Regions from separate parts of the Mus musculus genome. Here all the other regions are reported to be linked to region 3. The links are microRNA targets in miRTarBase. Many come from high-throughput screens and were not tested one by one. Region 3 holds a microRNA gene; each other region holds the end of a gene's coding sequence.
The links. The annotated mature microRNA mmu-miR-344e-3p reads GAUAUAACCAAAGCCUGACUAU and lies in region 3 at 1,655-1,676, opposite strand. An mRNA with a match to its seed (bases 2 to 7 or 8) in the 3' UTR can be bound and repressed. Matches are read on the target gene's strand: a 7mer-m8 pairs with bases 2 to 8, a 7mer-A1 pairs with bases 2 to 7 and ends in A, and an 8mer does both.

Region 1: miRTarBase lists Pfkl as a target of mmu-miR-344e-3p. Seed matches in the 3' UTR shown: 7mer-A1 at 817-823.
Region 2: miRTarBase lists Mpped2 as a target of mmu-miR-344e-3p. Seed matches in the 3' UTR shown: 7mer-A1 at 1,962-1,968.

What each region holds. Positions count from the first base shown.
Region 1 is chr10:77,985,370-77,988,627 of GRCm38, reverse strand. It overlaps Pfkl (phosphofructokinase, liver, B-type), which reads left to right. Exons shown (of 22, transcript NM_008826.5): 22 at 271-1,681. The coding sequence ends at 418. Cfap410 (cilia and flagella associated protein 410) reads right to left here. Exons shown (of 7, transcript NM_026431.2): 7 at 3,190-3,258. Among named protein-coding and RNA genes, the nearest start is that of Gm51807, 2.6 kb to the right of the region's middle.
Region 2 is chr2:106,866,568-106,869,825 of GRCm38, reverse strand. It overlaps Mpped2 (metallophosphoesterase domain containing 2), which reads right to left. Exons shown (of 7, transcript NM_001143683.2): 7 at 1,466-2,878. The coding sequence ends at 2,760. Among named protein-coding and RNA genes, the nearest start is that of C130023O10Rik, 50 kb to the right of the region's middle.
Region 3 is chr7:61,733,885-61,737,142 of GRCm38, forward strand. It overlaps Mir344e (microRNA 344e), which reads right to left and starts at 1,718; the gene lies at 1,653-1,718. All of the region lies in intron 6 of A230057D06Rik (RIKEN cDNA A230057D06 gene), which reads right to left.

The DNA of each region.
Region 1 (3,258 bases), not on the chromosome of region 3:
CAGAACTTTCCAGGACAGGGCCCCTAGCAGGCTTTGAAGAACAGGAGTCTTGTCCATGCGTTCAATGGCCAGCACAGGGTGGTCTGGGGAGGGTTTGTGACTCTTGCATCTGAGTCTACCTCAGAAGTACTTCCCCTCACTCCCAGCCAGAGGAATGGGGCACCCAGATGTACCCTGTATACCCTGGTCATGATGGCGACTAGGTATTCGGGGTTTAAGGGATCTCGGGATTCAGTTCTGTAACTAACTATCCAACCTTGACCTGCGCAGGCACCGCATGCCCCGGGAGCAGTGGTGGCTGAATCTGCGGCTGATGCTGAAGATGCTGGCACACTACCGCATCAGCATGGCAGACTATGTGTCTGGGGAGCTGGAGCACGTCACACGCCGCACCTTGAGCATAGACAAGGGTTTCTGAGCTTACTGTCACTACTGTTCCTGCGTTCCCGGACTCTCACCCTCCCAGTGCTAGCCACAGATCCCAGCACCGAGGGGAACTCAAGGGGAACTCGGAGCCCGTGGCTGGCTGAGGGATGTGGGGGTCTACTGTGCTGCTCTGGGGCTCTTCCCTTAGCCCTCCCCCCACCCCCAGGACAGAGAGCCTGTGGGGCCCCTACCTTCCAGTCAGACCCACATTGCCTCTCCCTCACTGGCCAGCTGGCTGCCTCACCACACGGCTGAAAAGAGCCTCACTTTTTTAGAAATAAAGTCACCTGTCTAGAGCATGGTCACTGGGACAACATGACCAGAGGAGTCCAGGGAGAGGGTTGTCAGGACTCAGGTGCAAACCTTACCCAAGGCTATAGTTTGTTTAATTTATATAAGTACACTGTAGCTGTCTTCAGACACACCATTAGAGGTCATCAGATCCCATTGCAGACCGTTGTGAGCCACCATGTGGTTGCTGGGATTTGAACTCAGGACCTCTGGAAGGGCAGTTGGTGATCTTAACCGCTGAGCCATCTCTCCAGTCCTGCCCACAGCTATTCTACAAGACTGGAATTTAGGGAACCCTCCCGGGAAGAGACTAGGGAGACCTGAGCCCTTAGAGAGCTACTGAGGCTCGTGTGAGCCCCATACCTGCCCTGGAATGGCTGGGGTATCGGCCTGTGGGCAATGTGCCCCGGTCTGGAGAGGAGACTGTCATTGTCAGTATAGTGTTCTTGGCTGATTGCTGCCCTTCAGGAGGTTCTTGAGGTCGGGACGTTGGCTCCTCAGAGAAGTTTATGAAGGGCTGAGCCCTGGCCAGCCCCACCTCAGATCCCTCTCTAAGCCCCTTATCAGGGTTTCTTACGTGAGCTGCTGCTGGGTCCATCCTCTACAGTGCCTGGATTTTTACAATATTTACAATAGGTGGAGGCTGTTTCTGGTTTCTCCGTGTATGGAGGTCAAGGGTTGTGACTTTGGCTCTGTGGACCTGCAGGCCGCATTGGGGCGGTGGTTTCCTTGGGTAGACGTCTCCCCCCATGGGTCACTGTAAGGCTTCTGTGGGGGTATTGCAGGCCATGTACCCAGCTGCTTCATCTGGCTGGAGCCCCCAAAGCTGCTGGGAGCAGAGTCCTGGAGTGTAAGTGTCATATCACAGCACCCTGGAGGGTTTGGTCTTGAGCACATGGCAACAAGGCCTGTATATTAGGGCTCTAGAGAAACAGAACCAATAGAATGTATATATACTGTAAAAGTGGGTTCGCCAGACTGGCTTACACAAATGGGCTTGGTAGCCTAATTGTCTTAGGGTTTTATTGCTGTGAATAGACGCCATGGCCACAGCAGCTCTTATAAAGGAGAACATTTCATTGGGGCTGACTTACAGTTTCAGAGGTTTAGCCCATTACCATCATGGTGGGAAGCATGGCGGCATGCAGGCAGATGTGGTGCTGGAGAGGTAGCTGACGGTTCTCCATCTGGATCTGCAGGCGCAGGAAAAGACAGTGAGCCACTAGGCCTGGCTCCTGAAACCTCAAAGCCCACCCCACAGTAGCAAGCTTCCTCCAACAAGGCCACACTTCCCAATAGTGTCACTCCCTATGGGCCTGTGAGGGCCATCTTTATCCAGACTTCACCAATAACAGCCATCTGCTGGCTGGGGAGGCTGAGAGCCCTGGAGCTGCTAAATTCACAGCAGCTCCATTCTAGTGCTGAGGGCCTGGAGGATCTTCACGCCACACTGGAAAGTCAGAGTTTGTGTCTGATGTCAGCAGAGGGTGGTAACAGCAGCAAGAAGGGCTGGCAGGCAGCACTGCCTTTTACTTGGAGCACCCAATATCTGGGCTGCCTGCTAGCGGAGGCAGTCCCTGGAGAGGGCCTTCCCCCTTTACTAAGCCTTCCTGGAATAGCCTCGTAGGCTACCGTAAGGCCTCTTAATAATTCTCCAGGTTAATTGACAGGCTCAGGTCTCTCAGGACTGCTGGGAGACACCTGTGCTTGTTCCAGAGTCACCATCAATGTCCATACCTGTTAGTGTGTTCTCCCTCCACCCCCAAAGCAGCGCAGGGCCTGGGGACATGGCAGGCTATAGTTGGACATCTGAAGATTAGAGCAGCACCTACCCAGCCGCTTGCTCAGTCTGGGCGTCTGCTACACAGGGGGTTCTGCAATGGGGAGGCATGAAGGGTGGGCCTGTGTGGCTCATTTTGTTCATGGCCAGGTGGAGTCGGGTCATTGTCATCAGCGTGGACTCAACTCTCAGTATGGAACCCCTGCTAGATTCAGGGTCTACCTGCTTGGCTGCAAGGTGGCTTTGGGCCCTGGTGATAGCAATGGCTTCAGGTACAGAGTAGCCATCTCTTTCCTCTCTTCTCTTGCACCACATCCACCCTTCCAGGGGGTTACACCTCCAGCCTTAGCTCTCCCCGCTGTGAGTTGGATGGGAGGGCACCAAACCCTTGAAAGGCCAATTCCTGTTCTGCTCAAGGGGCTGGATCTGGAAGATTCCAGATGTGGCTGAATGTCCCACGCTCGGCTCCAGGTAGGGATATGAGCTGTGCTTTAGCAGAGGCTGGGAGTGGGGATCAGGGATTGGGGGCTCGGTGCAGCTGGTAGTCTGCCCATCCCTGGGGTATATGTGAGTGTGCCACAGGAGGATGGAAAGCTAGGACGTTACAGGCATGGGGTGTGGTCCTGAGGGAACCTGCTGGGCATTTCCAGAATCTTACATCCTGGAACGAGGAAGTGGGCCTGGGACACAGACACTGGTAAAAACAGTTTATTAAGAGAGAAAGCACTCCCAGGTTTCGAAGTGGGCCAGCGGTGGAGCAA
Region 2 (3,258 bases), not on the chromosome of region 3:
GGTTTCCAGGGCTGTGTACACACCCATGTCCTCAGGACCATCCCTCCATCCCTGGAGATCTTCCTTTGCCTTGTAGAGATGTCTGAGCTCACGTCATGGTTAACAGCCAGGTGAAATGTCTTTTCAGTACTTTGCATCTCTGTCCATCCCCTAGGAAAGGGCACCAAGGCAACAATCTTCACACCAAGTCAGCAGATTAAGGGAGGATTGTGAGCTTCTCTCAGGACCTCATCCATCTCAGCTCCCACAGTCACAGACTCTTCTCGTCTGGAAGCCCACGCACCCGTTGCACAGTGTCAGATCAGAAACGGACAAGCCTAAGAGACGCAGCTAAAATGGACAGAGATAATTATGAGAATTTGTGCTGTCGTTTGAAGAAGACTGTTCCAGCTGGTGCTGAAATCAAGAATTCCTTCCAGGAATAGCATCAGAAGAATCACAATAGTTAGACCGAACGGAAATGCAATGCAGTGGGCACAGACTTAGCACAGATTTAAGATCTTGTTGCAATTCGGGGTGCGGGGATGTTCACTTGTAAACCCCCACAGTTAAAAAGTGGAGACAGGTGGGTCAAGAGTTCAAGGTCCTCCTCTGTTACACAGAGTTCTAGGTCAGCCTGGGTTATCTGAGACACTGTTTCAGAAAATGGAAACAACAATAAAATAAAACACAAAATAACCTTCTATAAACAAGCAAAGGCCCTACAAACAACAATAGCAAGGTGCTTTTCCTCAATGGTTATTCTCAACCTGAGGGTCACAACCACTACAAGGGTCAACTATCAGACATCCTGAACATCCTATATTTACATTATGATTCATAACAGTGGTGACATAACAGTTATGAAGTAACAACAAGATCATTATATGGTTAGAGGTTATTACAACATGAGGAACTGTATTAAAGGGTTGCAGCATTAGGAAGGTTGAGAACCACTGATCTAGACAAAATGAAAGAGGTATATACAATTTCCCCAGCCTACCACTGGCCCCAGCTTCTCATTGGAAAAAAAAAAACATGTCAGTGGACTCATTCAAACAGAAATGAAACCATGGGGTGGGGGTGACCACTGCACGTCATGAGGATAAATGAGAATGTTTTAGTGAGAGGGTGTCTGTCCTCTGAGGCGCCCTCTGCTCACTACCACTGTCACATCCCAAACAGCAGTCACAGCCTTGTCAGTCTTTCTGTCCCCATACATTACAGTGGCCAAAGATGGAAGCTGCACCTTCTGCAATCTAAGACGAGACAAACCAGATCCCCAGTGTGCTGCAGGGAGAACCTCTTGTCAATGGACCTGACAGCCTGGGATTGGTAGGCCATAAACAGTTATTGAAAAATTAGAAAAACAAACCCACTATTCTAATTGTTCAGAAGGGGATTACTCAAATCGCATGTAAATAAACCATCTTAGCCCCAGGACAAACCTACCCCGCCCTCCCCCAGGCAGCCCAACCACGCAGCACCGATTTAAAAATCTTGCAATTTTATTTGCATATAAAGGCCGCTAGATATAGAGTATCACAATAAATTTAAAGAAAACAACTGCTTTCCTAAATTTGAAGGTAACATAAAATAGAATAGCGCTCAATGGCATCGACAATGGGAGACCAGAAAGGATTATTAGCAACAATATTTTGTGCTAGCGAAGATTGCATCAACACACAGTGCAAAATGGGAGGGGGAGGGGAGTGAGAAGACAAAACAGGGCCTTTAAATAGAAAGGACGACTAAGCCTTATTTAGTTCGCTTCCGATGCATCCACTGGAGTCTATACACACTGGTTACTGTACCTAGACTGGACTCAAGTTCTTTAAGACCTTGAGTTTGAAGAAAGAATGGGTCAGTTCCTTCAGACGTCTGGTGTGCTGCTACCGATGTGGCTTTGCAGTTGTACTGTCCTTGGCAAGATTAAACTCCCAACTGAGTCGTAATGCACAAAAAATAGTTATATATATATATATATAAATCCACATGGAAAGGGAGTCTGCACACTTTCTTTTTCCTTGCATGACCATCTCTTGACAGATTCTTGTTTCCTTATTTTTAAAGCTCAAATAATTTAAAAGAAACAAACAGTGAGAGTTGGTAGCATCATGATATGGATCTCTGGCTAAGCCTCTGCATGAGGGCTGTTCTTCCCCCACCTCAGACACAGTCTTCTTTATAGCCAGAGAGAAGCTAAGGTTTTTCCTAACCAACTTCTGTTGAGATTGCTCTAAATTGGGGCCACATTTGTAAAATAAAAATGAGGCAATACCAAGAAAACAACAACAAAACATTGAAAATTAAAACATATCAAACAATACTCAGAGTTGTGCAAATCTGGGTGATTTTTCAAAACACTGCTTTTGTGTTTCTTTCTGTCTTTTTTTTTTTTTTAATCTTTTCCTTTCAGCTTAAAGCATATTCAAATAAGACTTTTTAAAATAATCATTTTTTTTTTAAAGAAAGCTTGGCTGTCCTTTGGCAAATACTAACAATTTACAATGGCGTGGCCTTTGAGCAAACAGAAGTCATTTTACAAATTCACAATGTTCCTTTGATTTCAAATGGATACCCCACTCAAAAAAGCAAAAAAGAGGCGGCACAACGCTAGCATCTTTTTTTTTTTCTTTTTTCTTTTCCCTCCTGTTCCAACAATTTACAAAAAGAACTCACAGGATTTAGAAATAAACAAATCAGAGAATGTGAGTTTATAATTAGAAAAATGGCAGTTTGTAGACCGTCCCTCACATTCCAACGGGATGCTGAGTGCTTTAGGAGCCCTGTGGGTTTGGAAGGTCAAATATGATTGGAGGGTTGGTCGGTTGAAAGCTGACTGTACAGGTTGAGGCATTGATGTAGGTGGTGTAACCGTCGGTCATGATGCCGTACCCTGTAGGAAGACAGTGTCACAGTTACTGCAGTATACACAAATGGTGGAGGCAGTTGAGCACAGGGCCACGGGCAGGGAGAACAAGGACATCTTTGTCAGAGGGCAGGGGGATGAAATTCAGTGGGCCTTTCCAGATACCACAGATTTCAGGAGCTCCTGGCCAACTTTGCTGTTTGCTTTAAAAGGGGGAGAATTCTCCCCTCCAACAAAGAGTGATTCTTCCCTGTGTCCTCTTTGCTTAAACACTGAACTCATCAGGCAAAAGACATGATAGCTGTATCACTGAGAATAAAGGAAAGTATTCCCCTACCTTTCAAGTATCAACTTCATTGCAAACTCCTGCATTAACTATTAAGTCGCAGGAAGGAAGTGGGCAGCCT
Region 3 (3,258 bases):
AAGCCTGCAGTTACCTTGGAGATCTCCATCAGTACTGCTTATTGATACCTCAACCCCCTCCACCCTAGTTTCCCAGAAGGAAATTGATAAATTGAAAGTGAAGGGCAGAAAAAAAAACCTGCTTTACCTTCTTTTCTCTGCACTGACTTACAGAAAAAGAAGTCAGTAGAATCTTGGGGGATGGTCCTATTTCTGGCTCCTTCTGCCTAGCTTTAAGCTATTAGCCAGAAATGTGCTGTTTCTTTTTTAGCCCACTTATTGTAACATTAATCTTCTGTATTTTGCTGCCTGCTGAACAATTGTGATGTGCATTTTTCAACTTATCCAATTTATCTGTTACATGCTCTGTGTATGAACTTTCCTTGAAAATATAATATGTATCCACAAAGAGGTGTTTGTCTATTTAGTTTAATATTCAGCTCATGCCTAGCTCTACCTGTATTCGGGTGGTATTAAAAGCTGCAGTTTTCCATAAATCTGAAAAATAATAAATGCTACTGAGTGTTGAAACAATGCTTACATGGTATGAATATTCACATCAAAATATGGTATATGTGGAATATTTAATGTGTGGATTGTTTTCTATATTTCTATACTGGATATTTTCTTATTTAAATTTAAAATTGTATGCCCATTCCACAATTCCCTCCCAGAGAAACCTGTCCAATCTCCCCTCCCACTGGTGCTATGAGGATGTTCTCCACACACACAATCCCACTACCCCACCCTGGCTTTCACCTACATTGGGGCATTTAGCCTTATGAGAGACAAGCCCCTCTACTCTGATTGAAGCCTGACTCAGAATTCTTCTGCTACTTATGAGGCTGGAGACATGGTTCTCTCCTTGTGTACTCTTTGGTTGGTGGTTTAATTCCTGGGACCTCTATGGGGGCTATGTATAGTTGATAATGTTGTTCTTCCTATAGGGTTGCAAATCCCATTCAGTTCCTTAATGTTTGGTTTTAAAGAGGTCATGGCATTTTCTGATGCATATAGAGCTGTAAATTTATTTCTACCTTCAGGAATGTATTAATAAAATAAAACAGTTCAAAATTATACAGATTTTATGACAGAGACCTGATTTCAAAAAAAAAAATAGAATGAAAATATCATGAAATCTTAGGACAACCTGAGAGAAAAGCATTTAGAAAATCTAGTAAACAACAACAAAAGTATCACCATAAACAATGGTTGCAATGTTGAATGCCTTTGGCTATTAATGGTAACATGCTACCAGCATCACTGTCATAACACTGCTTGGATTGTGGGTATGGTAGTTTCTCTGCCTGTTAATCACATCTAATTTTTCTTATACTCAAATCTGGTATGTTGAGCACCTCTGCTGCCATCGTGGTACTCACAGTGGCTGATCTAAAAACATGAAAATGCCAAAATTGTTCTGTAGTCTGTGTCACAAGCTGAAGATTGAATGTTGTATCTTCATTACAGAAGGCACAGCCCTGCATGACCGAGGCAAGAAATGGACAGCAGATGCCTGAATTTCACATGTGGAGGCATTCCCTGTACAGGAACTAGGAGCCAAAGAATCAGAGAATGGAGGCTCTGAAACAAAAAAAAGCAGTTTGCTTGGAGCTGTCCACTGGCTCCATCTCTTGTCAGTTACAGAAGCACTCTTCCTTGTCTTTAGCACCATATAGTCAGGCTTTGGTTATATCCAGGACCAGGTAAGTCCTGGAATATAGCCAGAAGCCTGACTGATCAAATCCTTCCCTGCAGACCAATTTATTTGGTCTCCTGGCTTCTGATTGATGGAGAATGTGCATTCAAATAGAGAATGGAATGAGATCCAATCAGAAGAGAGATCTCATATCTAGGCATGGACAGCAGAGCCTGCAGTAACCTTGGATATCTACATCAGTGCTGGTGATTCATAACTCATACACTCCTCCCTGCCTTCCCAGAAGAAATGAGAATAATTGAAAGTGAAGTGCAGAAAAAAACTGTTTTACCCTCTCTTCTCTTCACTGACCTACAGAAAAATACCTCACTGAACACTTTGGGGTGGTCCTATTTCTGCCTTATTGATTATCTTTAAGCTATTTTACAGGGATGCTCTGTTAGCTTTTGAGCCCACTCACCGTATTTCTTGACATTTTTGCTGCCTACTGGGCAATTGTATTGTGCCTTTGTCTCCTTTTCCAATTTAACAATTGTATGCTCTGTATATACTCTTTACTTGAAAAAATATTATTTATTCTTGCATCTAGAAAGAATTGTTTTAATACCAAGGTTAATATTCTGCCCATTCCCTAGTCCATGATTACTCAGTTTCAATGAAAAGCTGCAGTGGTCCATAAATCTGAAATATAATAAATGCAACTCAGTGTTGTAAACAATGTTTGTGTGCTATATTATTCACATCAAATATGGTGGATGGAAAATATTTGAAGTGTGGTATTGTTTTCCATTTTTTTGGATATTTTATATTTACATTTCAGATGTTACACCCTTTACCAGAGTCCTCCACAGGAACCCCCTGGGAAATCTTATATAAGTATGTTACTTTACCCAATTACACACAAAATACTGGCACCCTGCCCTGGTATTCTCCTAGAATGGGTCATAAAGCTTTCTCAGGACTAAGGGCCTCTCCAGTGATTGATGCCTGGCAATGCTTTCCTCTGCTACCTATGAGCATGGAGACCTAGGTCCCTCTTTTTGAACTCTTTTTGATGGTTTTGTCCCTGGGACTTCTGGGAGAGTGAGTCTAAATAATTGATATTGTTCTTCTTGCTATAGGGTTGCAGACCACTTTCAATTCCTTAATGTGTGGTTTTAAAGAGGCCATAGCATTTTCTGATGCATATAAAGCTGTAATCTTATTTCTACCTTCAGGAATGTATTAATCAAATAAAACAATTCAAAATTATCCAGGTTTTATGACAGGGCCTGATCTCTAAAGATAGAATGAAAATATGAAGGAATCTTAGGACTTCAGGTATCCACAAGTACAAGCTCACAAAGAAAATTCATGTTTCTATTTCTTCCTTTACCTTGTGTAATACCTAGGTAGAGGTGATCAGGTAATCATTTATTGATTTCCTTAAATGGCTCATGACTCTCCAGAGCTGTAAGGTTGCAAAGGACTGACCTAGGAAAAAAAGCATGTACAAAATCTAGTAAACAATAATAAAAATATCACAATAAACAATGGTTGTAATGTTAGATGTCTTTGCCCATTAATGGTAACATGCTACCAGCATCACTGACCCAAGAGTGCTTGGGTTCTGGGTATGG